7 linked regions of the Mus musculus genome follow. The protein of the gene in region 7 purifies or fractionates together with the protein of the main gene of each other region. This does not show direct contact. Links are inferred from orthologs where the notes say so. Each region holds a gene or a part of one and is shown on either strand. Other genes may lie near its edges. The genes, in order: Atp2a2, Hsp90b1, Mogs, Wwox, Ppt1, Bsg and Canx.

Evidence for each region.
Region 1: the proteins of Canx (region 7) and Atp2a2 purify together in Homo sapiens (co-immunoprecipitation; 3 studies listed by BioGRID and IntAct, with this or other methods). This does not show direct contact. The link is inferred for Mus musculus from reciprocal best matches to the Homo sapiens genes CANX and ATP2A2.
Region 2: the proteins of Canx (region 7) and Hsp90b1 purify together in Homo sapiens (affinity purification with mass spectrometry; 4 studies listed by BioGRID and IntAct, with this or other methods). This does not show direct contact. The link is inferred for Mus musculus from reciprocal best matches to the Homo sapiens genes CANX and HSP90B1.
Region 3: the proteins of Canx (region 7) and Mogs purify together in Homo sapiens (affinity purification with mass spectrometry; 3 studies listed by BioGRID and IntAct, with this or other methods). This does not show direct contact. The link is inferred for Mus musculus from reciprocal best matches to the Homo sapiens genes CANX and MOGS.
Region 4: the proteins of Canx (region 7) and Wwox purify together in Homo sapiens (affinity purification with mass spectrometry; 3 studies listed by BioGRID and IntAct, with this or other methods). This does not show direct contact. The link is inferred for Mus musculus from reciprocal best matches to the Homo sapiens genes CANX and WWOX.
Region 5: the proteins of Canx (region 7) and Ppt1 purify together in Homo sapiens (affinity purification with mass spectrometry; 3 studies listed by BioGRID and IntAct, with this or other methods). This does not show direct contact. The link is inferred for Mus musculus from reciprocal best matches to the Homo sapiens genes CANX and PPT1.
Region 6: the proteins of Canx (region 7) and Bsg purify together in Homo sapiens (affinity purification with mass spectrometry; 3 studies listed by BioGRID and IntAct, with this or other methods). This does not show direct contact. The link is inferred for Mus musculus from reciprocal best matches to the Homo sapiens genes CANX and BSG.

Annotation. Positions count from the first base shown.
Region 1 is NC_000071.6:122,464,024-122,467,847, forward strand, and holds part of Atp2a2 (sarcoplasmic/endoplasmic reticulum calcium ATPase 2), read right to left. Parts: intron 3,773-3,824; coding exon 3,684-3,772; intron 2,908-3,683; coding exon 2,805-2,907; intron 2,059-2,804; coding exon 1,927-2,058; intron 1-1,926.
Region 2 is NC_000076.6:86,692,876-86,695,751, forward strand, and holds part of Hsp90b1 (endoplasmin precursor), read right to left. Parts: intron 2,863-2,876; coding exon 2,785-2,862; intron 2,668-2,784; coding exon 2,602-2,667; intron 1,745-2,601; coding exon 1,475-1,744; intron 1,285-1,474; coding exon 1,039-1,284; intron 639-1,038; coding exon 502-638; intron 1-501.
Region 3 is NC_000072.6:83,114,225-83,118,522, reverse strand, and holds the start of Mogs (mannosyl-oligosaccharide glucosidase), read right to left. Parts: upstream 3,018-4,298; 5' UTR 2,943-3,017; coding exon 2,597-2,942; intron 2,505-2,596; coding exon 2,275-2,504; intron 1,896-2,274; coding exon 1,699-1,895; intron 1,547-1,698; coding exon 1-1,546. UniProt on the Homo sapiens protein: In the context of N-glycan degradation, cleaves the distal alpha 1,2-linked glucose residue from the Glc(3)Man(9)GlcNAc(2) oligosaccharide precursor in a highly specific manner.
Region 4 is NC_000074.6:114,438,157-114,442,544, reverse strand, and holds the start of Wwox (WW domain-containing oxidoreductase), read right to left. Parts: upstream 2,894-4,388; 5' UTR 2,774-2,893; coding exon 2,667-2,773; intron 1-2,666. UniProt on the Homo sapiens protein: Putative oxidoreductase. Acts as a tumor suppressor and plays a role in apoptosis. Required for normal bone development. May function synergistically with p53/TP53 to control genotoxic stress-induced cell death.
Region 5 is NC_000070.6:122,845,982-122,849,805, reverse strand, and holds part of Ppt1 (palmitoyl-protein thioesterase 1 precursor), read right to left. Parts: coding exon 3,765-3,824; intron 1,374-3,764; coding exon 1,271-1,373; intron 1-1,270. UniProt on the Homo sapiens protein: Has thioesterase activity against fatty acid thioesters with 14 -18 carbons, including palmitoyl-CoA, S-palmitoyl-N-acetylcysteamine, and palmitoylated proteins. In contrast to PPT2, PPT1 can hydrolyze palmitoylated proteins and palmitoylcysteine.
Region 6 is NC_000076.6:79,702,830-79,707,227, reverse strand, and holds the start of Bsg (basigin isoform 1 precursor), read right to left. Parts: upstream 2,871-4,398; 5' UTR 2,711-2,870; coding exon 2,644-2,710; intron 1-2,643.
Region 7 is NC_000077.6:50,322,579-50,327,143, reverse strand, and holds the start of Canx (calnexin precursor), read left to right. Parts: upstream 1-1,470; 5' UTR 1,471-1,651; intron 1,652-4,565. UniProt on the Homo sapiens protein: Calcium-binding protein that interacts with newly synthesized monoglucosylated glycoproteins in the endoplasmic reticulum. It may act in assisting protein assembly and/or in the retention within the ER of unassembled protein subunits.

The sequences.
Region 1 (3,824 bases), on a different chromosome or scaffold from region 7:
CCTATCTGGCAAGAACTTGAGAGAATTAACCACAGTACACCTGCAGTCAAGAGCAAAGAGCTAGTGTATATACACTAGTCCTTAGTAGCCCCTTCTACCAGGGTAGTTCAGAATTCTTCCCATTTCAATTAACTCAAGGGAATCCCTTAAAGGCCAATGTAGACAACTCTTCACTGACATTTCCTTTCCAGTGATGGCAGGCTGTGTCCTGGTAACAAGCAATGCTAACCACAGGCCTGCTGCTGGCCTTGCCCATCCACAAAATACACACTCTAAAAACAAATCCATAGAGAACTTGATAGTTATCAACACACTTCAATATCATCAGGGTTAGCTGGCTGACTTTTTAAAAACATAGTCTGCATGATTAATTGATGAGCCTTGCTTCATGGAACAGCAGCATTTTCTATTTTGAGTCATCTGTATGCATTTGAAAATACTAAAAGAACCCCCAGCCTCAACTAAAAAATAGGAAAGAAAAAGAAAAACGGGTGGGTGTGGTGGTTAGGGTTAGGAGGTAGAAGCAGGCATATTTCTTGAGTTCTAGACAGCCAAGTCTACAGAGCAACTTGCAGGACAGCCTGGGCTACACTGAGAAATAAGGTCTTGGAAGAACAGAACAGGAAAAACAAAACAAAACAAACAAAACAAAAAAACAAAACCAAACTAACAAACAAGTTTTGGTGATTGTTGTTCAAATGTTGTTTTCCATCTCAGTAGTCATTAGGTTGATTTCTGGGATACATCAGAACCCTCATTTTCTAGCTTTCTTTTTCATTTCTCAAAATAATTATTTAGTGCTAATTTTTTATGACCTTTGGTGTTTTGCCTGAATGCATGCATGTGTGAAAATGTCAGATCCCTGGGAAACGAACCTTGGCTGGTCCTCTGAGAGAGCAGTCAGTACTTTTAACCACTGAGCTGTCTCTCCGAGACACACCATTTTAATTTGGCATGCACACCTGCACCTCATGTATGCTTGGTGCATGGAAGGCAGGAGAGGGCACCCTCTGACCGTCTGACAGGAGAAACAGACAGTTCTTAGGTGCCGGGGTGGGGTGAGGAGGGAGTCAAATCCAGGCCCTTAAAACTTCTAACCATGGAGCCATCTCCAGGTCCAAAATCCACAACTGCTGACTTGTCTATTTTGTTACATTTAACAGTTATAAACAAATTAACCACTGGATTCAGCACAAAGTTATAAGTGATCCAAAAGAGGTTTTGATGGACTGATAGGTGGAGGCAAGAGCCTGACTGGAATGGATTTGAGAAAACAGAAATGAAACAAGCTGGGCATGGTGGCGCACGCCTTTAATCCCAGCACTTGGGAGGCAGAGGCAGGCGGATTTGTGAGTTCGAGGCCAGCCGGGTCTACAAAGTGAGTTCCAGGACAGCCAGAAACCCTGTCTGGAAAAACCAACCAACTAACCAAACAAAAAGAAAAAAGTGAGAATGAACACTCAACAGTTTTTTTCACCCGAGTTAAACAAATGGGGTGTCAAATGACAATTAGGGCAAGGGACAGCTCTAATGTTAAAAGCATACAATTATTTTCTTTATGCTACTGGAGAGGCACAGAGAAAGACACTGAGATGCAGGCAGGAGGGCTGGGTATTCTCAGGACTAGGGATAGCTCCCTTGGTAGAGCCCTTATGATACACCTATGTCAAGGTACTAATGATTGCTGGGCTATTTTTGTTTTGTTTTGGTCCGTTTTTTAAAATGTGATTTGGTCGTCTGTCTAATGAGTTCTGTTCTACAATTTGTGGCAATTCTCCTGGTATTTGCATCGTGAGCTCTAGAAATATAGGCATGAGAGACCATCGTACCTGACTGTGACCATCAGGAAACTAATGCCGAAGAACAACAGTTAAACCAACAGTGTAATGAAGAAGAGCAGCATACTGTGCTGAGCTCAATACTGACCGAGTTGCAGGCGTTTGCACGCTCTATTTTAGAAAGCCCCTTCAGCTCAGTATCAAATACATTCATCTTCTCCACCAGGCACGTGAGAGCAGTCTCGGTAGCTTCTCCAACTTTCTCATACACACCCTTTGCCTGCATTGTCAAAAGAAGTCAATGTCAGCAGAATAGCTTGTCCTCCCCGGTTCATGTGAGAAAAGACGGTGTAACCATGAGACACCAAACCCAGATATTAAGATGTTTATTCATTTAAAGTCCTTGACCATTTCAGGTCACTGTTTATTATTCTAATGACCTTTGAAAAAGAAAGCAAATCAATAACCCCACTATTTAACTTGTAAAAGGTTCTCTTGGTTATCACTCTTCACTACACCACCAAAACAACCCTTTCAGCTCCAGACTGTGCTCGAGGATACATGGCAATTGGTGTTTAAAAGTACAGTCCTGGGGCTGGAGACATGGCTCAGCGGTTAAGAGCACTGGCTGCTCTTCCAAAGGTTCTGAGTTCAAATCCCAGCGACCACGTGGTGGCTCACAACCATCTGTAATGGGAGGATCCGTTGCCCTTTTCTGGTGTTGTCTGAAGAGAGTGACAGTGTACTCACATACATAAATAAATCTTAAAAAAAAAAAAAAAGTACAGTCCTCACCCTCACTCTCAGAAAGACTTGTAGCTGGAACTCTGGTCCTTTAAAGGGTGCATCAGTGGTCAGAACATCATGACAACTATGTATCTTAGTAAAACAAGCTGTAGTGCCCAGCTGCAGGTCTGTGAAGGGCACCTGGCCTTTTTTCAGCCAGGCCACGGGACTAGAAATCAGAAATAAAATTCCACTCACCCTACCCTTGAGCCAGCATCAGAACATTACAAGGAGTCTTACCTCATTATAATCCAAAGCAGAGTCATTACACAGAGCACAGATGGTGGCTAACTCTACAAGCCCGTCATACTGATGGCACTTCACTGGCTTATCATCCTTTTGCCTATAAAAAGAGAAAAACATTTCTAGATCACAGCTTTACTCAACTTTAGTTTTAAAACAAACAAACAAACAAACAAACAAACAAACAGAACCTAAACAGAAGCTGTATGCCACAATGCGGCACATATGTACAGAGGAGGTCAGAGGACAAATTGTGGAAGGTCCTCCTCTCCTTCACCACTAAGGGTCGTGAGATGGACTCCCATTGCTGCACACACAGAGAAAGTGCTTTTTACACTCTACCTCCCATTTGTTGAAAACTAGAACTCACTTTCTATTCCAGCATGGCCCTGAACTTCCGTAGGCATGTGACAGCCCCCTGTCCCCAAGGATGAAAATGGAGTTTGGGAAGAACAAATTGGAATAGACTCAAAAAAAATTTGAATGACCAGAAATTTTCATCAAAACCCAACAGTGTACCAGTAAGTGAAGAACAAAACAAAGCCTTCACCAGCAAGTCTAGGCTTCAAAAGGTATTATTAATTAAAAACCACTAACTTGAGCCAGTCAGCCATCTAGCAACAGTTTCTTTTGTGTGAGTCTAAGAGAGAGCACACAAGAGACAGTTTCTCTCGGAGTCCAGGCTGGCTACGATCTTGTGACCTGCCACAGTGTCACTATGCACATCCTGCTGTTTGTTTATTCAGAGCTTCTGGGGATCACAGCAAGGCATATCTTAGGTCCATCACTAAGTCAGACCTCTGTCAACAGCAACAGTTTCTAGACCCATCCCTCATGGTCTAACCAGAAGTCACCATAGTGACAGAGCTTACTCACACTTCTCCAATTGGTGCATATGTGGATCCAGTTATGCTGAACTCATTAAGGGAACAAGTGTCACCTTCTACTTTGTCCAGAATGAACATCTACAAGGAAACACAAAACAAAAGTTTTATGTAAGATATACACAAAAGAATT
Region 2 (2,876 bases), on a different chromosome or scaffold from region 7:
ACATCCATCTAGGGCTTAGGGCACTGCTGAGAGTCATCGAAACAGTTTGATGCTCCCAAAGGCCAGAACTACAGTGTCAATGCAGTAAGTGCTGAATGGTCAGTAACTTTCCTGACACTGACAGTTGGGTTTTAAATGGCGTTACAATGTTAGATAGAAAATATACAGCAGTTTTCTTTACGTAGAACCTAAGTCTTAGAAAGCCAGGCATGGTTTGCCACGCCTTTAACCCCAGCAGTAGGGAAAGGCAGAGATAAGAGGTAGATGGGTCTCCGTAAGTTCTAGGCCAGCCTGGTCTACAGGGTTCTAGGAAAGCCAGAACTCTGCAGAAACCCTGTCTCAAAACAACCCAAAACAAAACCAAACCCCTAGTGAGTCGTGATGTAAATATGGACATTATTCGTAATTACTCTAAAGCAAACTAAGGAAGCTCAGGATGATTCATGTAGCAGATCAAGAGAATAAGAGCTGGCATCTTGGTAGGGACATCCCGTTTCTTACTTTGTAGAGATGTCCTTGCCCGTCTGGTATGCTTGTGCCTTCATGATCCTCTCCATGTTGCCAGACCATCCATACTGACTGGCCACAAGAGCACAGGGAGACTCTGTGAGGCGCTGCGACACCACAGCCTTTTCTATCTTAGAATGAGAAACGTTAGACAGAAGTAAGGATCAGCAGTAAGCAGTGCTAGTCACCATCATAGAGAACAGACAGAAGGACTCAGGAATCCTGGAGGGACACTCAGTCAATCTGGATTTTCTTTCAACTACAAATTTATCTTTAAACCTGTAAAAACTTAGTACAACATCAGTATATAGCAACAGGAAGCTTCTTGGCAGGGATGGGTGCCAGGGTCTTCAGCACAGCAAATGAGTCTGTCACTGAGCTACGTCTCCAGGTCCCTGCTGTTACACCCGAGGTTACAGGTGAGGCACATGCCACTGTCTACAATCGCTAGTGGTAATGAACAAACTGAGTATGGATTAGCATGCTGATAATTCCTATGTGCAGACACTGAAGTCTGCAAACCCCAAATACCTTGTCCTTGAGGGCCTTATCTTTCATCCAGTTGAGCAGAGGTTCAAACTCCTTCTCTGTTGCTTCCCGACTTTCTTTAGTTTTCTCACTCTCATCAAACTTCACCCCTTCTTTGGCAACATTCTGAAACCTCTTCCCATCAAACTCGGGAAGAGCCTGAATGCAGTATTCATCCACAGGCTCTGTGAGATAAATGACTTCATAGCCCTTCTTCAGAAGTCTCTCAACAAATGGAGAAGATTCCGCCTACAAGATTAAAAGAAGTATGTGTTTTCAAGTTCTGCCTTGGCACATTAGCTGTGTGAGACAAAGACTAAAGGTAGTGTCCTCTGGTGTCTGCCTAACTATCCCAGCTACACAATTAACTTATTTCCTCTCCCACATTGGCTGTATGCCTCCAGCTCCCAGGGACCCTAGCAGCTGCACTTCATCTTACCTCCTTTCTGCTTGACCCAGCCATGAAGTAGATTTTGTCCTGTTTTTCCTTCATTCTTTCCACATACTGGTCTAAACTAGTAATGTCAGTTGAATGGTGAGAAGACTGGAACCTAAGAAGTTTAGCAAGCCGTGTTCGATTTGAGTGGTCTTCAATCACACCAAGCTTGATATTCGTGCCGAACTCCTTCCAGAAAGTGTCGTTATACTTCTCATCAGCAATCTTCTTGATCATGTCCAGAGTTTTTCGGACAAGCTTCTTCCTAATCACCTAAAGAAAATGGAATCTGGTTAGGAAGGTTTATCTCAAACCTTTGCTTCTGAGACCAGGATAGCAGCAACTGAGACAGCACAACTGCCACACCACTCAGCAAGGGACAGGAAGCACCAGGGCACTCCCACATCAGACTGTGTTAGAATTAACGACAACTGTTTCTAATATATTCCAATGCTAGAACTCAGATATGTTGACAGAATGACTAATATTTTCAAATGTTTAAAAACAAAACCCCACCTAGTCTTCTAATCACTACAATACTGGCAAAAAGGGGGCTTATTGAAAGGCCTAGTATGTGGGTGACTGTGGACCAGACAACTGGTAGGTGTGTTCCCTGGCTTCAGCTCTGTTCAAAACGGTATTCCTTACTATGTTGGGGGAATGTATCAGCTCTGAGACCCAATAATCTCAGAATAAAAGAAGTTCCTTTTTGAGATAGTCCTAAGTTAGGGTAGCCTAAAACTGCTAATAAACCCTCACTTAACTATGACCTCATTCCTTCAAGCTATTAAGATTATAGGCATGCACTGATGTGTCCAGCAGAATTTCTTTGAATAGTTCAAGACTAGCCCAGCCCTCCTGCACTTGCTTCAACATCTAGTTGCTAGAACTGCTTTCTTTCTGACTGTGCTTGCGCAAACTCACAAACACAGTGTGGTTCAAACCCAGGGTCATAAGCACAGCAAATAAATTTGACACCGAGTTACATCTCTATAGTTTCCTACTCTGTTACTCCTGGGTAACACCACTCTCTAAAATTGCTAGTAGTTACAAAGAAAGCAGGTGTAGAGTAGCTTACTGATAATTCTGACTCCAACCATCGGGCAGAAAGCCTGACTAGAAATTCTCACCTTGAGCAATTTATGTTGCTGAAGAGTCTCACGGGAAACATTGAGGGGGAGATCATCGGAATCCACCTGCAGACAGCAAAATGCTCACTGAGCAATAAAAACAAGTCTGTACCAAAAAATACAAGACTGTTGCTCCACTCCCAGCCACTCTGACAGCCACGCGTACAATCTTCAGATACTTACAACACCTTTGACAAAATTAAGGTATTTGGGCATCATATCATGGAAGTCATCTGTGATGAATACGCGGCGTACATACAGCTGAGGGGGAACGA
Region 3 (4,298 bases), on a different chromosome or scaffold from region 7:
GTGAGGACCCTCCACATGCCCATAGTGATGTAGTGCCCCCAAAGCTAGGTAGTTAATATTCAGCCACACGGCACCTCGCCAGTAGGGTGGATCGTGCTCAGTGTTACGCTGTTTATAAAAGAGGCTAGAGGCTGAAAGAGAGCGCAACCCAAAAGGGCTCCAGAGATGGCGACTATCAGCTAGAACGTCTAGCAGGGGTCCTAAGCGGGGTGAGCTGGGGTCCAGCAGCTGTAGTAGCAAAGGAAAAAGAGAGACATAGCCCAGGGCATCCACATACTGTAATCGAGGTGGAGGCCTGCCTACCACCCTAACCAGCCCCTGTGGGGGCCTCGACTTGAGCTGTACTGCTTTTGTGTGGTTCCCAAAGTCAGCAAAGACCCCCAGCTCAGGAGCCCAGTGCAGCTCATCAAGACTTCCAGGTTCTTCTAGAGAGGCAGCCAATGGGCCCAGCTCTGCAGCAGCTTCAGTCTCCCCAAGCTGTTCTGCAAGCTGGGACAGCACCCGGGCACCCAGTGCCACCCAGCAGCGCAGGTCCAGGTGCCGCTCTGCTGTGGAAGGATGCGAGGCCCTAGGGTAGTCATCCAGGCCTGAGGGCAGCGTCTTGGGGTTAAGTAGGGTAGGCAAAGCTAGGTCCCTGCCCCGCCAGCGGTAGGATAGTGGCACTGGCCCTGCCTGACTTTGATGGAGCCAAGAGAACCAGGCATGCAGGCGGGGGAAAGCCTTGCGGAGAAAGGCCAAATCATCAGGGTCATGGCCTTCTAGCATGTGTACGACTGGCAGGAGCAGGGTTGGGGGGTTGGCATGGGCTGCCCGTTGCACTAGGAATTCTGGGGGCACTCGGGCTCTGGCCTCATCCCCCAGAATCTGCTCTCGCCCAATCCAGCCGTCAGCATTGAGCAGCCCCAGCCAGTGTCCTAGGGCCTCCCGGGTGAGGTGGGGATCCCATCGCTGGACCACTAGCTGGTGAAAGCCTTCATCCCAGAGGAAGCCTCGTGGGAAGAATGACCTAGAAGGCACCCCAGAGAAAAGAGGGACAGGTGGAAACAGGGCAGGGTCCATTTTCTGTTCAGACCCTTCCATGCTAGTGTCTGGCAACACTAAACCCTGTCCATAGAAGTAACCAATCCCACCAAGAAGGCCACTGAGGGCAACCTGACCCAAAGCCTGTTCCTCGGGACTCAAGCCCTTCTCCTTTAGCTGGAAGGTCTTCTCAAACCGTTCCTTGAAGGCTGCAGCATGGCTCTCCAGGGCCTGGGTCAGTTGGCTGCCTACCAGCCGCCCAGAGGCTTGGTTTCCTCCTGTTGCCGCACTGCCAGATTCAAACACAAACTCCACAGAGAAAGGGGCTTTCAGTGTCACCTGCTGGATCAAGAATTGCCCTTGCCCACTAGGGCCTCTCTCCTCCCACTTCAGAGATCCAGGCAAGCCGAGGTAGCGGTCAGGAGAGGCTCCTGGGGGCCGGTGCTGAAACCAGCTGTTTAGGCGGCTCTTTACCATATCTGTGAGCTGTGGCAGCCCCGGGTTGGAGGACCAGAAGACATTGTAGCTTGAAGGCAAGAAGACAAATAAGGAGTGTTATTCATGAAAGGGATGCCTCTCCAGTCCCACTGGTGGGAAGGGGAGGAGGGAGTCATAGAAACCAGGCTAAGTCAATCTCCCAAGCACCCCTGTACCACCCTGCACCAATCCTCCAGTTACCTGCCATGCTTAGGGACAGTGTCTCCTGGACTGGTTGGCGGCAGAAGTGTGAGGCGGAAGTCACCAAGTTCACTGGTGTGCCCACTGATGGACTTCAACTGTCCTTTGGCTCCGATCTCTGGTAGTAGGACCTCTTGCCCATCTGTCACCACGTAGAAGAACAGGGACACCAAAGGGAAGGAAGGTGTACCTGAGGCCTGGGTGACCAAGGAACACACAAAAGCATCAGAAAAACATCTTTTTGAGACCCAGTCTCAGCAGGGATTACAAGAACTGTGGCAAACATACATCTGCCAAGACTGAGGGTAGGTAGATCCACCCAGTGGGCTGAGCCAAAGGGCCCTGAACAGGATTCCTCCTGGAAATGACAGAGGCTTTAGAATTATACGTAGATTGTTTCAGTCAATCTTTTAAGTTAGGCGTCACTGTGATATCTACTTTACAAACAAGGAGATGGCAGACATGGTCAGCCAGGCTGGTGTCCCGGCTGTCAACCTCCATTTCATACTGCATTTGCTGCTGAAAGGGAAGGGTGGGGAAGTCTGGGCTGTGCAAAGACGATCCTGATGCCCTGACCTGAGGCTCTACGGTCACTCTCCAGCTCCAATCCCCTCCGTGCTGACCCCCAGGCCTCTTGACGAACTCAGTGGTGAGCCTTAAGGCCCCATCGTGGATATGCTGCCGACCGAAGGTGCGGCCATCGTGGAACTCCCAGCCATAGGGACCCACGCCGTCTCCCTGTTCACACGTGTGCCTGAGCTTAGGAGGGGTCCCCGGGGTGGCGCCTTGCTGTGCCCACATCAGTCCTGGGAAGCAGAATGGCCACGTCAGTCAACAGAGGCTGTCTTAAGTCTTCGAAGACTGCTGGGTCCTCCCCACTCACCCGCCCCAGGGTTACCTGTGAGCAGTGGTTTGGGGCTGCGAGTCTTCATGCCGAAATAGACGTGTGGGCGGTAGGTGCCCCAGAAGAGTTCCGGGGCCACGGCAGGACTGGAGGAGTCCGGCGGCAGCGCAGACGGCGCGGGGTGCAGTGTGAGCGCGCGGCGCACACGGAGCCACGCCAGCACCCAGCGCCCCGACAGGCCGAAGGCCAGCGCCAACACCACCACGGCCAGGGCCGCGCCGCTCGCCGAGCCCCGCGCCCCACCAGCCCTGCCATCCCGCCGGCCCGCCGCCCGCGCCCTCTCCAGCGGCCGCGCCCCCTCTGCGGCCGCAGCGCGCCGTCGCCTCTCGCCCCGGGCCATGCGGGCAGCCTGCACGCTCCCCGGCTGCCACCGTGCGGTCAGCGGACCGAGCCTTCGCCGCGCGCCTCCCCGAGCGCCCCGCCCCACCGGAAATCCCGCTTTCACGTCAGGTCCGGCCCCGAAGCCCGGAAGCGCTGTGGCTGGTTGACTCGGTACGGAGACCAGGACTCGATGGGTGAGAAGCGTCAGTGGTTTGGAGTTCAAGGGCTGGGAGAGAAGCAATGGCATTCTGAGCCTCTTCTCTTTTGTCTTGCTTAACTACTGATTATGGCCTGGAGAGATGGCTCGACGGTAACGGCGCTGGCTCGCGAGGCTGACGACCTAAGTTATATCCCCTTACCCAGGTCGTGGCAGAAAGAAATCAGACTTACGCAAGTTGTCCTCTGATCCTCACATCAGGGCTACAAATATGCATACAGCCTCGAACTTCCACGCGTATGCTGTGGCATGAGCGCACTTCACCTCCACACGTTTACACACACACACACACACACACTCGCAAGCACAAATAAAATGATTGATAAATAAATAAATAAATAAATAAATGCCAGACGTGGTGGCTCTCAGCTTTAATCCTAGTACTCAGGAGGCAGAGGCAGGATGATCTCTGTGAATTTGAGGCCGCCCTGGGATACACAGTGAGACCATGTCTTTAAAAAAAAAAGTACGAGTAAGGAAGAAAGCGGGAGATATGATTTAATGGTTAACGTATTTGCTGCTCTTGCAGAGGATAGTTCAGTTCCCAGCACCAACATGGCATCTTACAAATACGTCCGGAGGATCTGATGGCCTCTTTGGGTCCTACACACTTGTCCATATGATCACACTAATGCCAGTTTCCCGTTTGGGGGATATGTTTGTTTAGGTTTTCCTCCAACTTGCTATGTAAAATTATGTTGGTTAAGACAGTCTTGCTTTGTATATAGCCCAGGTTGTCCCAAAGCTTGATAGTGATAGACAGCCTCCTGCCTCAGCCTCCAGAGTGTCAGGAGCTAGGGACTGTTAAGCTATGTTTACGTATCACTATCCAGCTCTAATCTGGAAGCAGAAAACGGTGGCCTAGGAAATATAAGTACCTGGGTCCAAGCCACAGAGCTGGGAGGGACTAGCTTAAAACCCAAGTGTGTATGAATTAAGCTATTTCACTATTCATACTCTGTACTTCCGTTCCTCCTGGAGTGGACTCACAAGGAAGCCCAGGTAGGGTCTGTTTCTTTAAGCAGTTCTATAACTTCAGACAAGTCTGTCTCTAACAGCCTATAATTTTATTGATTGATTTTTAAATTTAAGACAAAGTCTATATCCCTGACTGGCTTGGAACTTGCTGTGTAGCCAAATCTGACTTTGAACTTTTGA
Region 4 (4,388 bases), on a different chromosome or scaffold from region 7:
CCACCCTCGGAAAGGAAGTAAACTGTATTACATCATCACCAATGGACGAGACGCCGACAGCGGACGCCAAGGACTGAGAAACAGTGCTAAGTTCAGGTGGTTGGAGCAGCACAGTCTAGGACGTTTTCTAGGGCTGAGACTCCACACACTGAGGTCCACGTAGGAGCACCCAATGCAGGACCATTGGCATGCCTATACCCCAGCACCTCCTGCTCACACAATCCACTCATGTCTCCAGAGCCACTCAGTCCTTCTGAAGACACAAACTCACTATCACTCCCTGGCTTCAGATCATCGGCTGGCTCTAGAGTCCGACAACAAAATCCAAGTCCTTGGTGAAGCACAGAAGGGCCTCTGCAAACTGATTCCTTTCTCACCAGTCTCAGGCTTTACAACTCTATACCACAGAGAGAGGGCTGCCTGGGGTCTCTCCTCCCACTGCCCCCTCCAACCTGCCTGACTTCCTACCACCTGAGGCCACCTTCTACAGCACTCTGAGACACAGGGCAAGTGACACCTCTCCTAGGCGGCCTCCCTCACCCACCCACCCACCTCACGCTGGACACAGTGCACTGGAACTATATCATTAGAAATCACTTGCTGGTATTGCAGAGATCCTTAAGAATGGCAGCTGCACCACACTTAGCTGGACATCACCAATGCCCACCCACCGGCCTGGCCCTTAAGGACTCTTGAATGAATGAACTCACCAAAGCTTTTCTGTTTCTTTCTATCTGGCCACCAGGGGCAGCAGTGAGTAGCTTTGAGTACCTGCAAATCTCATACTTTACAGCCCATCAGTGGGGAGACGCCAGGGCACATTAGTTCCTAATTTGATAACAGGGCAAGAACGTTATCTTTTAAGTCTTTCTGGAACCAGGTAGGGTAGTACAAACCCTGTAATTACATATCTGGGAGGTGGAGGCATCAAGAACTATGTCATCCTGTTTACAAAAGAAAGTCTAGGCAAGCCTGGGCTACAGGAAGCACTGCTAGACAAAACTGTAGCATGTGCCATTAACCCCAGAGGCTGGAAGGTCTCTGTGAGTTTGAAGCCAGTCTGGTCTGTATATAATTTTTTAAGTTAATTATTAAAAACTAAAAATACACTTACAGGTGTTAATACAATAGTTTGTTTTCTGAAAGCCAGGTGATAAGATACTCTCATAGAAAGCTTGAAAAAGATTGAGTCTCCTAGCTTTTAAAGACATAAAGTCAGGTGTGTTGTTCATGCACACTTTGCCCAGGAGAAATGGGAGCTCAACCTCGGCCACCTAACCAAGTTAAGGCCACCCTCGACTATATGAGACCCTGTTTTAAAAATATTTCACAGATATATAAGAAAATAGAAGAGGAAGTATTTGATATGAAGAAAAAAATCAGGAAAAGTACACAATATTCATAAGAAAAAGGAGACCATGAAACTCGGGGGTTGGAGGCAGATAGACATCTTGGAAGGCAGACAGGGAGAGGAACCATGGCTAGGTGACACAGGTGGTGAACTTCCAAGACAGCCAGCTTCTTCCTCACACTCTTTATGTGAGTCGAAAGCCTGGCATCTTAAAACAAAGTCCTTGTGGGCTTTTTCTCCTGCTAGTCAGCTGTTGCTGATGACTGGCTCAGCAAGTTCGAGACCACATCAGGACACGTTACCCAACAGATGTGGGTTGACCAACCCTTATCTTTTCTTCAAACTGACCAACTCTTAAATTAGGGAATGAAAACTCCTCAATGACTTAAAACCAAAGCCCTCAAGAAGAGGCTGCAATTTTTTCGGCTCCAGAGTTCCCTTTGGCTTTGCAGTTGTTTTCTCCATGTGTGTCTGCCCTGTGAACACGAGTCCTCCCCTACAGAGTGCCTTTCAGCCTGCTGACTGTGCCTGCTGCTGTCGGAGGTGTTGGAGACTTCTCCACTGCTACCTGCTACATTGCGAATTTCCCGCTTTTTCATTCTTTGACTGGCAGAGCCTGATCAAGACTGTATGAAAACCTAGCATTTTGTCCATTAAGTATCTATTTCTTAAAAATGAACAGAGGTCCCCAAGCATAGAGTCAGCTGCAGTAGCTCCCCCTATGGGAGCTACTATCCCCTATCACGCCTATGCAATTTTGCCACAGATACAGTCCAAGTAACAGAAAACGCCTGCGGGGCAACCTACTAGCCTCTCCACTGAGTGCCTTGTGCACAGCACAGATTCATTCTTGTGTCTGCTCATTTCAGAGATGAGGAGAACAGAAAAGTCAGGGGCTTGCTTTCAGTGGCCCAAGGTCACGGTTAGCAACAGGGAAAGGCTCTGTGGAGGTTTCCAAGACTTCCCTGGGAAACCACTGCGAGCCATCCAGGACATCTGCTTAAAAATACAGATTGCTGGGCCTCCAGATCAGGTCCCCATGGCAGGAGCTTGGCTTTGAAGTTTTCTCTATTTCCTCTTTAGAGGAGTAAGACCTAGGCGCCACCACCGCACGGTGCAGTGCCACCTAGTGAGCGGCAGGGGGCGTGCGGCGGGTGGCCAGGTGACGGGACCTTGACCCAGATCCCCTAATAACGGGGGACAGCCTGGGACAGGTGGCTGGCATTTCGGATGCGCATGCCCGCCTGGCAGGGCAGCGCAGGGTCCAGGCCTCGCAGGACACGGCTCCCAGGAACGCCGCTCCAAGGCCGCTTACTTGGCGTAGTACACCCAGCCGTCCTTGGTGGTTCTCTCCTCCCAGCCCGGAGGCAGCTCATCCTCACTGTCCGTGTCGTCCAGGCCCGCATAGCGCAGAGCTGCCATGCTGGAGACAGAAGTAGCCGCCTGCTCTCCTCAGCAACTCACTCTGGCTTCAACCGCGCCGCGCGCGTCCGGGAGGGGACCAGACCGCTCGCGCCTGCGCACTGCTCGCCCAGCCGGTCCGCGGCTGTAATCCAGTTTCCGGGTTTTGCAGCTACTGGCGGGAAAGGGGGCGGAGCCTGAGAAGAGCACGGGAGGGAACGCGGAAGAGATGGAACGGCCGTGGGGGGTGGAAGGAAAAGCAGGAACGGCTCAGAAACTGGAATAAGCTTCCTCAGCCTCCTGGAAGGGGCGTGCTTACCCAGTCATCATGCAGGACTCTGCACGTTGCTGGGCGACCCGAAGGCACTTCCTTATTGTTTTACCCAATCCTGAATGAGTCCCAGCAGTGAAGTATCCTGGGAAATGTAGTCCAAGCTCAACTGGACTATAAAGGGGGGGCGGGGAGGGGGGAAAGGTTCTGATGAGATTATTCTGAGCTCCAGTTTCGTCCCATGCCCTGCAGGTGTACAACCTTTTGACACTACGACATGATACTGTGACATGGTCATTTCCAAAATTTACACTAGAGAAGCCCTCAATCGAATATCCAAATAGGAAAAAGAAAAGAAAAATCTCACAATGCTTAAAGTTTAGGATTTTTGTGTTGGGCAGCATTTATTAGTATCCCGGGCCACGTGTTGCCACGAGCCTCAGGTTGGACACACCTGCGAGAGTAAATGTCCTGACTTGATACTATCCAGGTATTTTTCCATTCACAATCTGTGTTGTTTATGTAAATATGCCATTTAAAAAAAAAAAACCTACACTTGGAGAACTAAGTGACTCCAGAATTTGGGAGGGTAAGTCAAAACGATCACAAGTTCACAAGTTCGAGGCCAGCCTATGCTATAAAGGGAGCCAAAAATCGAGAACATGCAAATTCTCATGCCTCCAGATTCTCTATTAAGAGAGAATGGTCTTCCAACCATAACTTGGTTCTCTTGTTCATAGGCGGCACCTGATTACAAACTTGCAAAGCAGACTTTTAAAGCACCTGAAAAAAAAATCCTGGTTATAAATATCCTAGACCCACAATGTGAAGCCTACCTTCACAACAGCACTTAGTCCCTTCCCCTATTTGTTTATCATTTCTGGCTCCTGGAAGTTTAGCTTTGACTTTGATCTAACAAGGATCTATCTGCATGTAAACCCAGGCAAAGAAGATTTTTCAGGAGCTTGAATACGTGTGAGACAAAGCCAACACCCACAAAGTCATACCCTAAGGAGATTTTATGACCATCTTGTTTCTGTAAAAACATCTGCGCCACAGTAGTTATGAAATGAGGATTTTTTAACTATCCAAGCTTGTGCTTCCGAAGCTGCACGCCAGGTGGCGCTATCAGCCTGCAGTTCAAAGCCTTGGTTCCCAGCAAGGAACCTTTGAACCTGTTTTTTGTTTGTTTGTTTGTTTGTTTGTTTGTTTTTAATCGATTGTTTACTTTCTTCTCTAGTAGAAATTTGCAACAACAAGATGCACTCACTTTTGCTGAGTAAAATTTGACACCACTCAAAAGAAACGAAATGTGTGCAAGGGACACGGATTTTAGTAGGCTATTCCTAGAACCCAACTTCTCTA
Region 5 (3,824 bases), on a different chromosome or scaffold from region 7:
TCTGTCCTTGACACAGTACTCAGCAAGCTTTCAGTCTGGAAGCTCATGTAGGGTATGGTTTAGGTGTCTTTTTTATTACTACTTTTTTTTTTTTTTTTTTCCAAGACAGGATCTCTGTAGCCCCGGCTGTCCTGAAACTTGTTATGGAGAGCAGGGTGGCCTCAAACTCAGAGATCCAGCTGCCTCTGCCTCCAAAGTGCTAGGATTAAATAAAGGAAGGTTGCCACCCCGCTGAGAATTCTCCCTTAGTCACTTCCTGCCTGGGACATAGCGTTAGCTCTAAATCTGGGTCGTCCAGTTAAATCGCTGAGAGAGTAGATTGTGTCTCCTGGCAGGGTCCAGGGTGGAAAAAGGTAGTGACCTGGATGCTCGAGTCAGGGAACTGGGGACTCAGACTGTTCCTGCCTCAGGTTTCCAAAAGGCCCTAGTTTGGACCTGCCCACTTACCGTACATCCCCCAGTCTCCAGGCTTTCCTGGGGCTCTAGAGCATGGTTTTCTGCAATGAGCCTTCTATGGAGGGAGGTAAAACCTTTTGGCTGAGCCACATGGTTCTTACAGCCCAGCCGGCCTTCTGTTTGTATTTTTTCAAAAACATGCTGAGATCTTGTGCTGGCTCTGCGCTACTCTCTTGTTCTCTGTGCCTCCTTCAAGTCCTTTTATTTTTTTAAATTTAGTTTTAATTAATTTAATTTTTTTTTTTTTTTGGACAGGGTTTCTCTGTGTAGCCCTGGCTGTCCTGGAACTCAACTCATTCTGTAGACCAGGCTGGCCTCAAACTCACAGAGATCTGCCTGCCTCTGTCCCTATGTCTACCACTACATCGAGCCAATTTTTTTTTTTTTTTAAGATTTGTTCATTAGTTTATTTTTTATTTTTTCAAATTAGTTTTAATTGTGCACTGGTGTTTTGACTACATGCTTGTCTGTGTCCCTGAGAGAGCCAGGTCCTATGGAGCTGGAGGTACAGATAGTTGTGAGCTGCTATGTAGGTGCTGGCAATTGAGCCCTGGTCCTCTGGAAGAACAGCCTCTTAACTGCTGAACTCTCTCTCCAGCCCCACATTTATTTATTTTTATTTTTATGTATATGGGTTTTTTACCTGCATGTATGTTTGCGCACCATGTGCAGGCAATGCTCCTGGAGGCCAGAGGATCCCGAGACTAGAGTTATGAACTGTGGTGATACCCCTAGCAGCCGCTCCTGGAGTCAGAGAGCACACATGCTAGCAGGGCACTCCCACAGTCTGCACCTGACAGCTGGCTGCACTCACCGTTCTTGCACAAGTTTGGAGTAAGCACCGGCATTAAGTGACTTCCTGATGAAGTCGCAGATGTGAGAACTCTCTCCTGGGCATCGGGGGAGTCCAAAGACACCTGGGTAGGAAAACGACAGCCATGTATTACTCTAATAATCACATGTTGAGTGCCACTGTAGCAGGCACCGTGAAACAGGAAAAATAAAAACGTCCAAGTACTGCCAGTTTCCCTCTGGCAATCCGCCAGGGACCTCTGCCCCAGCCTCCCATGTGTGGCTGTTACATACAGCACGTGTGGCTGTTGCAGCACATGGTTACCTCATCCTCTTTCTGGGAAACTCATCTGGTTCCGCGTCCCCATTCCTCTCCCCAGTCATACTTTCCTCCGTGCACTTCCCCTTCCTGTGTGAATTACTTTTGACACTAAATGCAGTGCAAATGTTCCATGGGTTGTTACTACAGTGTGTTGTTTAGGGAGAGAGAAAAGAGTCTGTATATTAACAGTACAGATTCAATGGTTTCTTGAATACTTTTCTCTGCCCTCCCTTGCCACCCCTCCCCTTTCTCTTTTTATGAAGATAGGGTAGGGGCTAATAAAGCCCAGGCTGAACTCAAACTCAATCCTCCTATCCCCAACCCCTAAATTCTGGGATTCTAGGCACACACAAATGCCTTTCCCAGAATAGTTCTCAGCTGTAGAGCTTTGAATCCACAGATATGGAGCACCTTGGGTTCAGAAGGCCAAATGTGAGCTCGGGTGCAGCTTTGTGGCAGAGTTCTTGCTTCACACGTGGAGACCCTGGGTTTTATCCCCAACAATATGCGCGAGCGCACACACTGATGATAATTAAAGAAGAGGCAATGAATTTAGGAGGAAGTGGGAGGAGCTAGAGGTTGGAGGGCTGGAAATGATGTGAATATAATACATAAATACAAAATAAAGCTTTTAGAAAATTAAATAAAAAATTGCTGGGCAGTGGCACACACCTTTAATTCCAGCAAGCGGGAGGCAGAGGCAGGTGGATCCCTGTGAATTCAAGGCCAGCCTGGTCTACAGAGTGAGTTCCAGGACAGTCAGGGAGGGCTACCCAGAGAAACTGTGTCTCGAAAAACTAAAGTAAATGCATAAAATAAAAAGAATATTAAAGCCTGCATCCAAGCTTTAATTTCTGTTGTCAATCATGTTGACAATAACATACAGCATGAGAGGAGTTCTAATCCAGTGACGCGCCTTTCCCCTCAAATGGACATTTCTAAGTGGTACCACAAATTAGAACAAAAAGCCTCCACCCTAGTTAATGTTAGTTGTACAGCACAACTGTCAGAGAACAGGAACACTGTTATGTTTCCCTTTTCCCGGTAGTGCTAGCATAGGACCTTGCACATGCTGGACAACCGTATCACCATCAGGCTACACACACAGCCACACAGCTCAACTCAGTTCTGCGTGTCCTCCTAACTATCAACTGTCACTGTCACTGAGACTTTTTTTTTTTTTTAAGATTTATTTATTATATGTAAGTATGTTGTAGCTGTCTTCAGACACTCCAGAAAAGGGTGCCAGATCTCATTATAGATGGTTGTGAGCCACCATGTGGTAGTTGGGATTTGAACTCAGGACCTTCAGAAGAGCAGTCAGTGTTCTTAACCACTGAGCCATCTCTCCAGCCCCTGCGCTCAGACTCTTATCTCTATGAAATCTAATCAACTACGTAGAAGAGATGGCTACTAATGACTTGCCTGTGCTACAGAGCTTTGCAATCCCTACTCCTCCATTGGTGATAGTTACTCTGTCCCATTATGTAGAGATGGGATTTGACAAGGGTGGCTGATGCAGGGTACAAATCCAAGTACCACATCTTTTCTTCTTTTCTCTCTTTCTTTTTTCTTTTTGAGACAGGGTTTCTCTGTGTAGCCCTGGCTGTCCTAGAACTTCATCTGTAGACCAGGCTGACCTCAAACTCACAGAGATCTACTTGCCTCAGCCTCCTGAGTGCTGGGGTTAAAGGCATGAGCCACTACCACCTGGCAATACTGCATTTTTAAAAAGTAGGCAAGACTGTGGAGATCTCTCAATAGTTAGGAGCAGCAACAGCTCTTACAGAAGACCTAAATTCAGTTCTCAGCACACATGCAAGATGGCTCACAATCACCCATGACTCCAGGTCCAGAAAAATGTAATACCTCTGTCCTCCTCATGTGCCCCCCATACATGTGCGTGCACACACACACACACACACACACACACACACACGATGGGTATACATGCCTATGATCTCAACATCTGGCCAGATGAAGCAGAAGAATTGCTTAGAGTTTGAGGGTAGCCTACGCTACCAAACAAGACCTTATCTAAAAAGGAGGAGGAAGAGCAAAGAAAGAAACAAAGGGTAGGAAGGAAAGAATAAAGGAAAGAAGGAAAAATGAAAGAAAACGGAAATACAAAACATCAGAAGGACATGGATTAGGAAAGGGGAAGAGAATCATGGAAAGAAGAGGTGACCGTTACCTTGATGTTGTCCTCCAACTGAGATCAGGGTCATCATGGGAGGTGTTGGGCATCTCTGAG
Region 6 (4,398 bases), on a different chromosome or scaffold from region 7:
CTGGGTAAGCGCTGGGGTAACACCCTGCAGTGAGTGTCTGAGTTGGCCTAGCCAGGGAGGCCAGCCTAGTCACTCACTCAGAGCAAGCATGCGAAATCAGGGTGTGAAGTGCTTGGAGCAGCCTGAAGAGACCCTAATATCAAATTCAGCCTCATAATCAGGAAACCTTAAGTGTCCATGCCACAGGGTAGCCCTCTGAGCAGAGCCCCTCCCCCACTGCATAGTGGGAAACACATCACTGGTTGACCTGGGCCCTGCCCAGGCTGTAGGCTATGGGTCTGTTCCCAGGAAAGGTTAGGACCTGCCCGTAAGCTACACTCTGTGCTTGGCTCCCGGGCATTGCAAAGGTCTGTTTAACCCCAGGCAGAAAGCCACTGGGCCTGTGCCCAGCCAGGCTTCCTACCCAGGACAGAATAAATCAACTGCCTCCATCTCACCAGGGGACAGCTATCTGCACCAAGAGCCAGCCTCATGGAGGCACCTCAAGATGTTTTGATGGTGAAGAAGAGGGCCTGGAAAAAGTGGGTCAGAATTAACGCCGGGCACTGCTGCCAGGGACAGCCCCTCCTGTACCTGCTGATGGGGGCAGCAGTCACATGGCCCACTTCTCCAGTGGAGCTCTGGCTCTGCCCTTTGCCTGCTGTCTGGAGAGGGCAGGAGAGCAGTCCCCATGTGTTCGAGGCCTACCACATGTTCAACCTTGCCATGACCCTGAATCCCTGCCTTCCTACCTCAGCTGCCCTTTTGAGCCTTCATCAGGCAAGGATCTAAGGCCAGAATGGGCCAGACTCCAGGGTGGGAGCAAGCTGAGTGTGCAGAGCCCTGGCCACCAGAAATCCCACCAGGAATGATAATCCAGCAAGTGCCTGAGCCTGGGGTCCGGAGCCATTCGCAGGCACTGGCTCCCAGGGAACTCCTAGACCAGCCTGAAGCTCTGCCTCAGCCCAGAGGGGCAGGGACAGGTGGCCATTACAGGGATACAGCCCCTGTGGACTATGGAGAACCTGCAAGCTCACCCCAAGGAGGACAGGGACAGCTGGGGACAGCTGATAAGGACTCCTCCAAACCTAGGGGCGGGAACTGCCTCTCAGGAACTCCTCACCCAACCCTCACATGTGAGGGCGAGTCCACTCATCCCCAGCCCTCCAAGCCTACCCATCCCTGGGCACCTCTTTACCCCAAGAACCCACGGGGTCACCTCTCACCCCCTTTCCAATCCACATCCTCCAGAGACCTGAGGACATTACTAATAGGCAATGCTATCCCCCACCAACTTCATCCTCTTCTTTCACATTCCCCAAGCAATGCTGTGCTCCTTCACTAAGTAGAAACAGCAATGCAGCAGCTTCCTCCACTGAGACCTTCCAATCCTTTCTCCATCCCCCTCACATCACCAAACATCAAGGACCTCCCCCAAATTCCTAGTCACCTCACTTCCACCCATATGCCCAAACTTGTGGACCTCTCCCCAGGCACTTCTGTACCCCAAACCCTCTGAATCATCTCCCTGCCTGGTCCCCCAAGTATGGACACCCTGAAATGGTAGCTCCTCCTACTCTAGTCCCCCTAGTGACCCCAAACCTTGGAGACAGCCTTTGTAGGAAAGTCTATTTCGCATCCTCCCCTTGCCCAGATGGTAACACTAAAGTAACAGACCTCTCTAACTCCATGCCCTCCTAAATTAGGGACTGTGACCCTCACTCTGTTCCCTGAGTGGGGACACCAAGACTGCAGTTCCTTCGACTCCCAGGTCTTCCAAATTTGGGATCTCCCCAAGGTGGCAGCTTCTTTAGTCCCCAGATCTCTCCAATCCTGGAGGAAGCCACCTGCAACACTGCTGTCCCTCACCCCAGGTCCCACAAACCTCTCTCAGATGTCCTGCCAGATGTCCCTCTGGCCCATGGTTACTTTCCAGCCCTGTCTCTCAGGTGTGGAACCCTCAACGTGCTGACTTCTTTTATCTTCACTCTCCCAGGCCCCAACACCAGGAGGAGGTAAATTACTAGGGTTCCGTTCCAGCCCTGGTACGCAGGTGGAGACACCAAGATGGTCCAGACAGCTCCCTGGCCACGGACGCCCTCACTCACGTTGGAGATGTTGCCCCAGAGCCTTACTGTCTTCCAGCGTCAGGGTCACCTCTTCCCACACCTTCCCTAACTCCCCAAAACCTAAGCCAATTATAGTCATTGTTGTATCCCCAAACCTTCAGGGTCACGTCCCAGCCCTATTCCGGGAGCTGGGACAGTTAGGGAAGCGGCTCCTTCCATCTCCAGCTGACCAAAATCTGGGGTCATCCCATTCACTTCTGTAATCCAAATCCATCCAAATTACCTTCCAGCCCATGTCCTGGTGGGGACCACCACAAGGTGGCGGCTCCTTCCACCTCCGGTTCCCACAACCTTAGGACGTCTCCCCCAGAGTCCTAACCTTTGATTTGTCTCTCCAGGGCCTCATCTCTAAGATCACTCCCCTCCACCTCGATGCCCAGTCGAGGCTAGGTTCAACTCGAGGGTCACCCACAGCCACTGTTACTCCTCCACAATCTCCAAGCCTCGAGCCCGAGTAGGGAACCACCGAGTCCCCGAAATCGGAGGCTCACCTTAAGTCCGTGACCCCAGCCCGGTCCCAGCACCCCGCTCTTACCCGCCGCGCAGGCGCCTTGGCCGCTCAAGAGCGTGAAGGCCAGCGCCAGCAGCAGCGCCGCCGCCATGTCGCCTCGTCCAGGAGCTGCCCCACTGCGGCTCTATAAGAAGGGCGGGGCGCGCGCACGCAGGCACGCACGTACGCACGCACGCGGCGTCGCAGGGCGGGGCGCCAGGCACACAGGGAGTAGGCACGTACCCAGCGTCCGCCGCTCCCGCTCGCGCTACAGGAGCGGAGCGGGTGGAGAAGCGTTGGCACGTGACCACACAGGCCACACCCTCGAGGGGGTGGGGCCTGGAGCCTGGACTGCCCTTGAGCTCGCGCGCGCGCGCTCTCGCCTCGCTCGTGCTCTCCCTCTCTCCCCCCCTCCCTTACCCCCAATCTTTCCCCTCCCCTCTCCTTTCTCCCCTATCCCCGCTCTTCTCTACCCCCTCTCTCTCCTCTGTCTCTTTTTGAGACAGGGTTTCTCTGTGTAGCCCTGGCTGTCTTGAAACTTACTCTGTAGACCAAGCTGACCTCGAACTCAAACATCCACCTGCCTCTGCCTTTGGATGGAGTGCTGGGGTAAATGCCTGACCCACGATGCTCGGCTGTCCTTTTCAAAAACAAACAAACAAACAAACAAACAAACAAACAAACAAACCAAAACAAAAAAACCCTTACATTTCAGCCTGTTGGTGGTGGCACATGCCTTTTATATCCCAGCACTCGGGAGACACAAAGCAGGTGGACAGCCTAATCTATAGAGTGTGTACCACCAGGACAGCCAGAGCTGCAAGAGAAACCCTGTATCAAAAAACCAAAACCGAATAAAACCAAACCAATCAAAAACAAATTATATTTGAAGGTCGTGCACTGTGGCGCAGGCTTCTAACCCCAACATCGGGAGGCAGAGGCGAGGCAGGCATCTGAGTTTTGAGGACAGCTTGGGCTCTAGCTACGTAGCCAGTTCTAGACTAAGTTGTAAGGTCCTATCTCAAAAATGTATTTATTTGTGCTCGCTTCGGCAGCACATATACTAAAATTGGAACGATACAGAGAAGATTAGCATGGCCCCTGCGCAAGGATGACACGAAAATTCGTGAAGCCTTTAATATTAAAAAAAAAAAAAAAAAAAAAAAGGGGCTGGTGAGATGGCTCAGTGGGTAAGAGCACCCAACTGCTCTTCCAAAGGTCTGGAGTTCAAATCCCAGCAACCACATGGTGGCTCACAACCATCCGTAACGAGATCTGATGCCCTCTTCTGGTGTGTCTGAAGACAGCTACAGTGTACTTACATATAATAAATAAATAAATCTTTAAAAAAAAAAAGTATTTATTTGGGTGCTAGAGAGATGACTCAGTGACTAAGAGCACCGACTGCTCTTCCAGAGGTCCTGAGTTCAGTTCCCAGCAACCACATGGTGGCTCACAGCCATCTGTAATGGGATCTGACGCCCATTACAGATGAGGTTCTGGTGTGTCTGAAGAGAGCAACAGTGTACTCACATAAATAAAATAATTTGTGTGTGTGTGTGTGTGTGTGAGTGTGTGTGTGTGTGTGTGTGTGTGTGTGTGTGTGTGTGTGTTTTCCAGACAGAGTTTCTCTGTGTAGCCCTGGCTGTCCTAGAACTCACTCTGTAGACCAGGCTGGCCTCCAACTCAGAAATCTGCTTGCCTCTGCCTCTCAAGTGCTGAGTTTAAAGGTGTGCACCACCCTGCCTGGAATAACTTTTTTTTAAGTATTTATTTATTTATTTATGTGTAAGTATGTCT
Region 7 (4,565 bases):
TGTCCTCATTTTTATTAAAATTTCACATTTATTAATGTATGTATGTGAATTTGTATAGAGGTCAGAGTACAATTCAATCTCTTCTTTCACCACGTTGAGTTCTGGGAATTAAATTCAGGCCATCAGGTTTGGTGGCAAGTGTCCTTACCTGCTGAGCCATCTCCATTGCTCCCAAAACATTTTTAGTATATGGATCCCCCAAATACCTGAGAGTCACTTTTTTGCTCTTCTGTACAATTTTCTCATCTCAAGAACTTCCTTCCAACTCCACCTACAGAAAATTTGCATATCTATGAGGTCCAGTTCAAGTCTTTGTCAGTTTAGACAGAAAAGTTCTGCCTCAACTCCTCTACTCCTTCAGTACTGACATATTTTAACACCTCTCTGCAGAAGTCGATTTTTTGGCTTTCTTAAATTCAAGGCCATCTTGGGTAACACAAGCCAGAACTCAACCTAAGTAAATTTAGAATTTTTTTTTAAATTATGTGTACTGCCTGTGCCAAGCTGGCTTCAAATTTTCATTTTGAACATGCTCTTTATAAGGCAAATAAGGAAAGCAATTTCTCTTCTTTAAAATTAGGGAGAGAGAATTGGCGGTTACTAAATTGACCCAAACATCAAATCCTTACTGCCTTTCTCTTGGGGTGGCAGGAACAAAGCTCGTTTCACATGTAGAAAAACCTGCTGTTTCTTTCCACATTATTCAAAGCTTTGGGTCACCAAATACAACCCGAGGCGATCAGGATTCTCAAGGATCTAGCCAAATCCTTAGCCACTTCAATCTTACAGCGTTATCAGCATATTGAAAAACGAGTGGGTTATGAAAAGGCTATTTTAAATCTGCACATGGCATCACCCTTTTCCTCAACTCTGTCGCTTAGGTATGTCTGATTTTAACGACTAAAATCAGGAAACAGCACGGGCACATGGGAAAGTGACTCCATGTGGCTTGATTGTGAATCTAGGTAGTGTTTTGTTAGGTAAAGAGGTCTCAGGCTCCTGAGCTCAGGGCGATGACTCCGCAGGAAAGGCGGTGTCTGCTACCCAGAGGGATTTCACTCACTGCGCAAGCACACCGCCCGACCTCTCACCATTTGTGATGAAGGCCATAGGTCCCAGGCGGGGTTGGGACAGAGTTCCTAACTCAATGGGTCGGAAAGCCGTCTTCTGGATGTCCAACACACCCGCCCTGAGGGACTAGGGCGACCCACGCGAGAACGCGTGCCAGATCCGTCCGCCCTCCGCGGCGCGCGCCCGCCCGTTTGGTGACGGCCCGCCTTCCTCCTTCATACCCAATCAGCAACCACTTCCTGCCTCGCTATTGACCAATCACCACGCTCCACGAAGAATAGCCCTAGGGGGCGTATGGGAAGGCGCTTCGAGCGATGGCTGTATCTACCAATAAATTCTTAGATCTTGCGCAAAGGGGCGGGATCTGACGTTCGTTTTAGCCACTCAGGAACGAGGGGCGGACGCGGGGTTGGGCTTCGTGCGGTGGGGCTCGCTCGCGCGGCGGCCGTAGCCGAGGCCTCTTAGTTCTGCGGCACGTGACGGTCGGGCCGCCTCTGCCGCTGTCTCCACTGCAGCACGGGGCCGGGTGTGCGGGTGGGAGAAGGTGAGGGAGCCGCCAGTGGTCCCCGGGAGGCTCGAGGTGAGACGGGAAGCGTGTGCGGGGATCTCAGGCCCGGGACGAGCCTTGGGGGACTGGGCGAGCGGCGCCGTGGCGGAGGGGGTCGGGCGTGGCTGTAGGCTCGACGACTGAGGGGTCGGGCGGGCTTTCGAATGGCGCAGGCCTGGGCGGACGCGCAGGGCAGTGAGGAGAGCGGCCGGGTTAGAGAGGCTAGCCTGGGCAGCGCCGCCGGGGTCGGGAGGCGTGGCAGGTGTCCTGGGGTTTCCCTTGACCTCTGAGAAAGCTAACAACTTCCTACGGCTTTGCTTCTAGAGCTTTCTTAGGCCCTGGCCAGGCCCACCCAGAGGTGGGCTGAGTAATCCGGTACAGGTGTGGTATTAGAATTCGGCCTAGTAGGTAGCCCAAATAGCAGGGAAAGGTGAAGTAAATCCAGAGATAAGCGTTACAGATTAGAAAATAACTTGCCCAAAGGGAAGACTGGACCATAGCATCCTGATGAGGGAGTAGAATGTACTAGAACGTGTACCGCTTGAGAAACTTAAGGCTTAACTATTAAAGCACCTGCCTATTCGGTGGTGGATAGATAGTAATCCAGTGTGGGTGTTCACAGGACCTTAAGAGCAGGAGATACAAGCGAAAGTTCAGTTAGTGAGGGGAGGAAACTGAGGCCTAGAAGTTTGAAATGACTGGCCCAAGGTCATACAGGTAGTTCTAGTCATCCAGTTGGGATTGTAACTGAGCACTAGACCGTTTGGGTTAAAAGTCCTGGTTCAAGCACCTAACTGCAATTAATCGGGGGAGTGGGAATTTGGGAGATTTTTTTTTTCTACTTTAGGGCTCAGTCCCCAGGAGTAGACAGAATGACTGATGGGCCTTGTATTGAATTCCGAGGGAATGGGAATGAGAAATTGGATGTGTAGTAAAGGTTCAGTGGGTAGGAATCGAACTGGCTTCTTGAAATCCGAATGCCTTGGTCATTACACTGATACACTAATGTTTATATTGAAGGCCTGTGTGCCAAGACCTGAGGACACATTGATGACACTTTGTGTATTAACTGCTGGTCATGACACTAGTGATTGCATTGCTAGTTGTGTGAAGTTAAACCAAACTGAATACTAAAAGCTTGGCAAAGTTGAGCTACAGTCTCTTTACCCTTCAGAAATGGAAGAATCTGCCTGTTTTTTAAAAATAATTTGCCCTCCCACCCCTTTAAAGGGGGACAAGTTGGGTTACCTTAAAAATCTTTGTATATTTTCCAGTAACCTTTGAAAGGGCATGAACAGAATCAATTCTCATGTTGTACTTATACTGTAATTAAGCTTACAGGCCAGGCAGGGGTACACTACAGGTGAGCCAGGCCCTGAAGAACTGTATATAGTAGTGAGCCATTCACAATAGGAGTTTACCGAACTGTCTGTGAATGGGTGTCACCTCCTTGCTATCTTAACTCAACAGTGCAATTAACTCCTTAATCTTTCAAGAGCCACAAGGCATGTGCATCTTGACAACACACCTTGCATCCTTGTCCTGCAGAGGTCACTTGCCCAGTAAGAGAACTTTGAGGGAGTAGAGTGGCAGTTGCTAAGAATAACTGCAGAAGACTGTCCAGCATGATAACTTTAATTCCTATCCTTTAAAAATGGGAATGAAAGAAAGAAAGAAAGAAAGAAATGGGGATGAGTGTGCTACTTGCTTTGCCTTTGAGAGGGCAGATACTAAGAAACTGTTTGGGAAAGTGTAAGGAAATGGACAAATAGTATTGGCAGCTCATAAAAAGTCCTAAGAAGTAATTAAAGTGCCAAAGATAGTTGTAGTCTGTATAGCTTACTGTAAAACTCATTAGGAAAATGCTTGTTAAATGCTTTGTTATTGCTACAAATGCTAGGAAAGAATTTTTAGGCTTATTTAATTTTCTGTGTATGTGTGTTTTGCCTGCATGTATGTCTGTGTACCATGTGTGTGAGACCCATCATATTGGTGCTGGGAATCAAACCTGGGTCCTCTGGAAGAGCAGCAACTATGTCTTCAGCCCTGAAATTTTTCTTTTTTCTTTTTTTTTTTTTTTAAGGAATCTAGACAATTTTTATATTGTATTCTTGTCTTTAAAAAAAATCATTTTAAGATTTATTTAGGGCTGGAGAGATATCTCATCGGTTGGGGGCACTGGCTGTTCTTCCAGAGGTCCTGAGTTCAATTCCCAGGAACCACATGGTGGCTCACAGTCATCTCTAATGAGAGCCGATGCCCTCTTCCGGTGTGTCTGAGGACAGTGTACTCATATACATGAAATAAATCTTTAATATGTGTGTGTGTACTATGTACATATATATATATATTTAAAAATATGTGTATGTTGGTGTGAATATATATGCAATATATTATTCATGGGGGCCAGTAAAGGGCATTATATTCTCTAGAGTTGGAATTACAAACAGTTGTAAGCTGCCCAACTGGGAATTCAACTCTTAATCACTGAGCCATCTCTCCATCCTGCGTATTCACATCTTAAAGTGAATTAATAGGAAAAAGTTTCTTTTAAAAAAAATCACTTATTAGCTGGGTGGTGTGGTGGTGGCTCACCTTTGATCCCAGCATGAGGGAAGCAGAGGCAGATTTATCCCTGACTTCAAGACCACCCTGGTCTACAGAGTGAGTTCCAGGACAGCCAGGGCTACAACAGAGAAACCCTGTATCAAACAAAACAAAACGAAACAAAAACAAAAAACCCACCACCACCAAATTACTCCTATGTTTCTGTTAATGAAAACAAATCCAAGAAGGTGGTATATAATTCTTGGCCTAGGCCCAGGGTTCCATTCCCAACACATGAAGCAGAAACCCCCAAATATGACATGTGAGTAAGGTATAGGTCTCATTTATAGAGCAGGTCACACTGTTTCTCAGGATGTTGTTCTGTCTTTGTTATCCTACC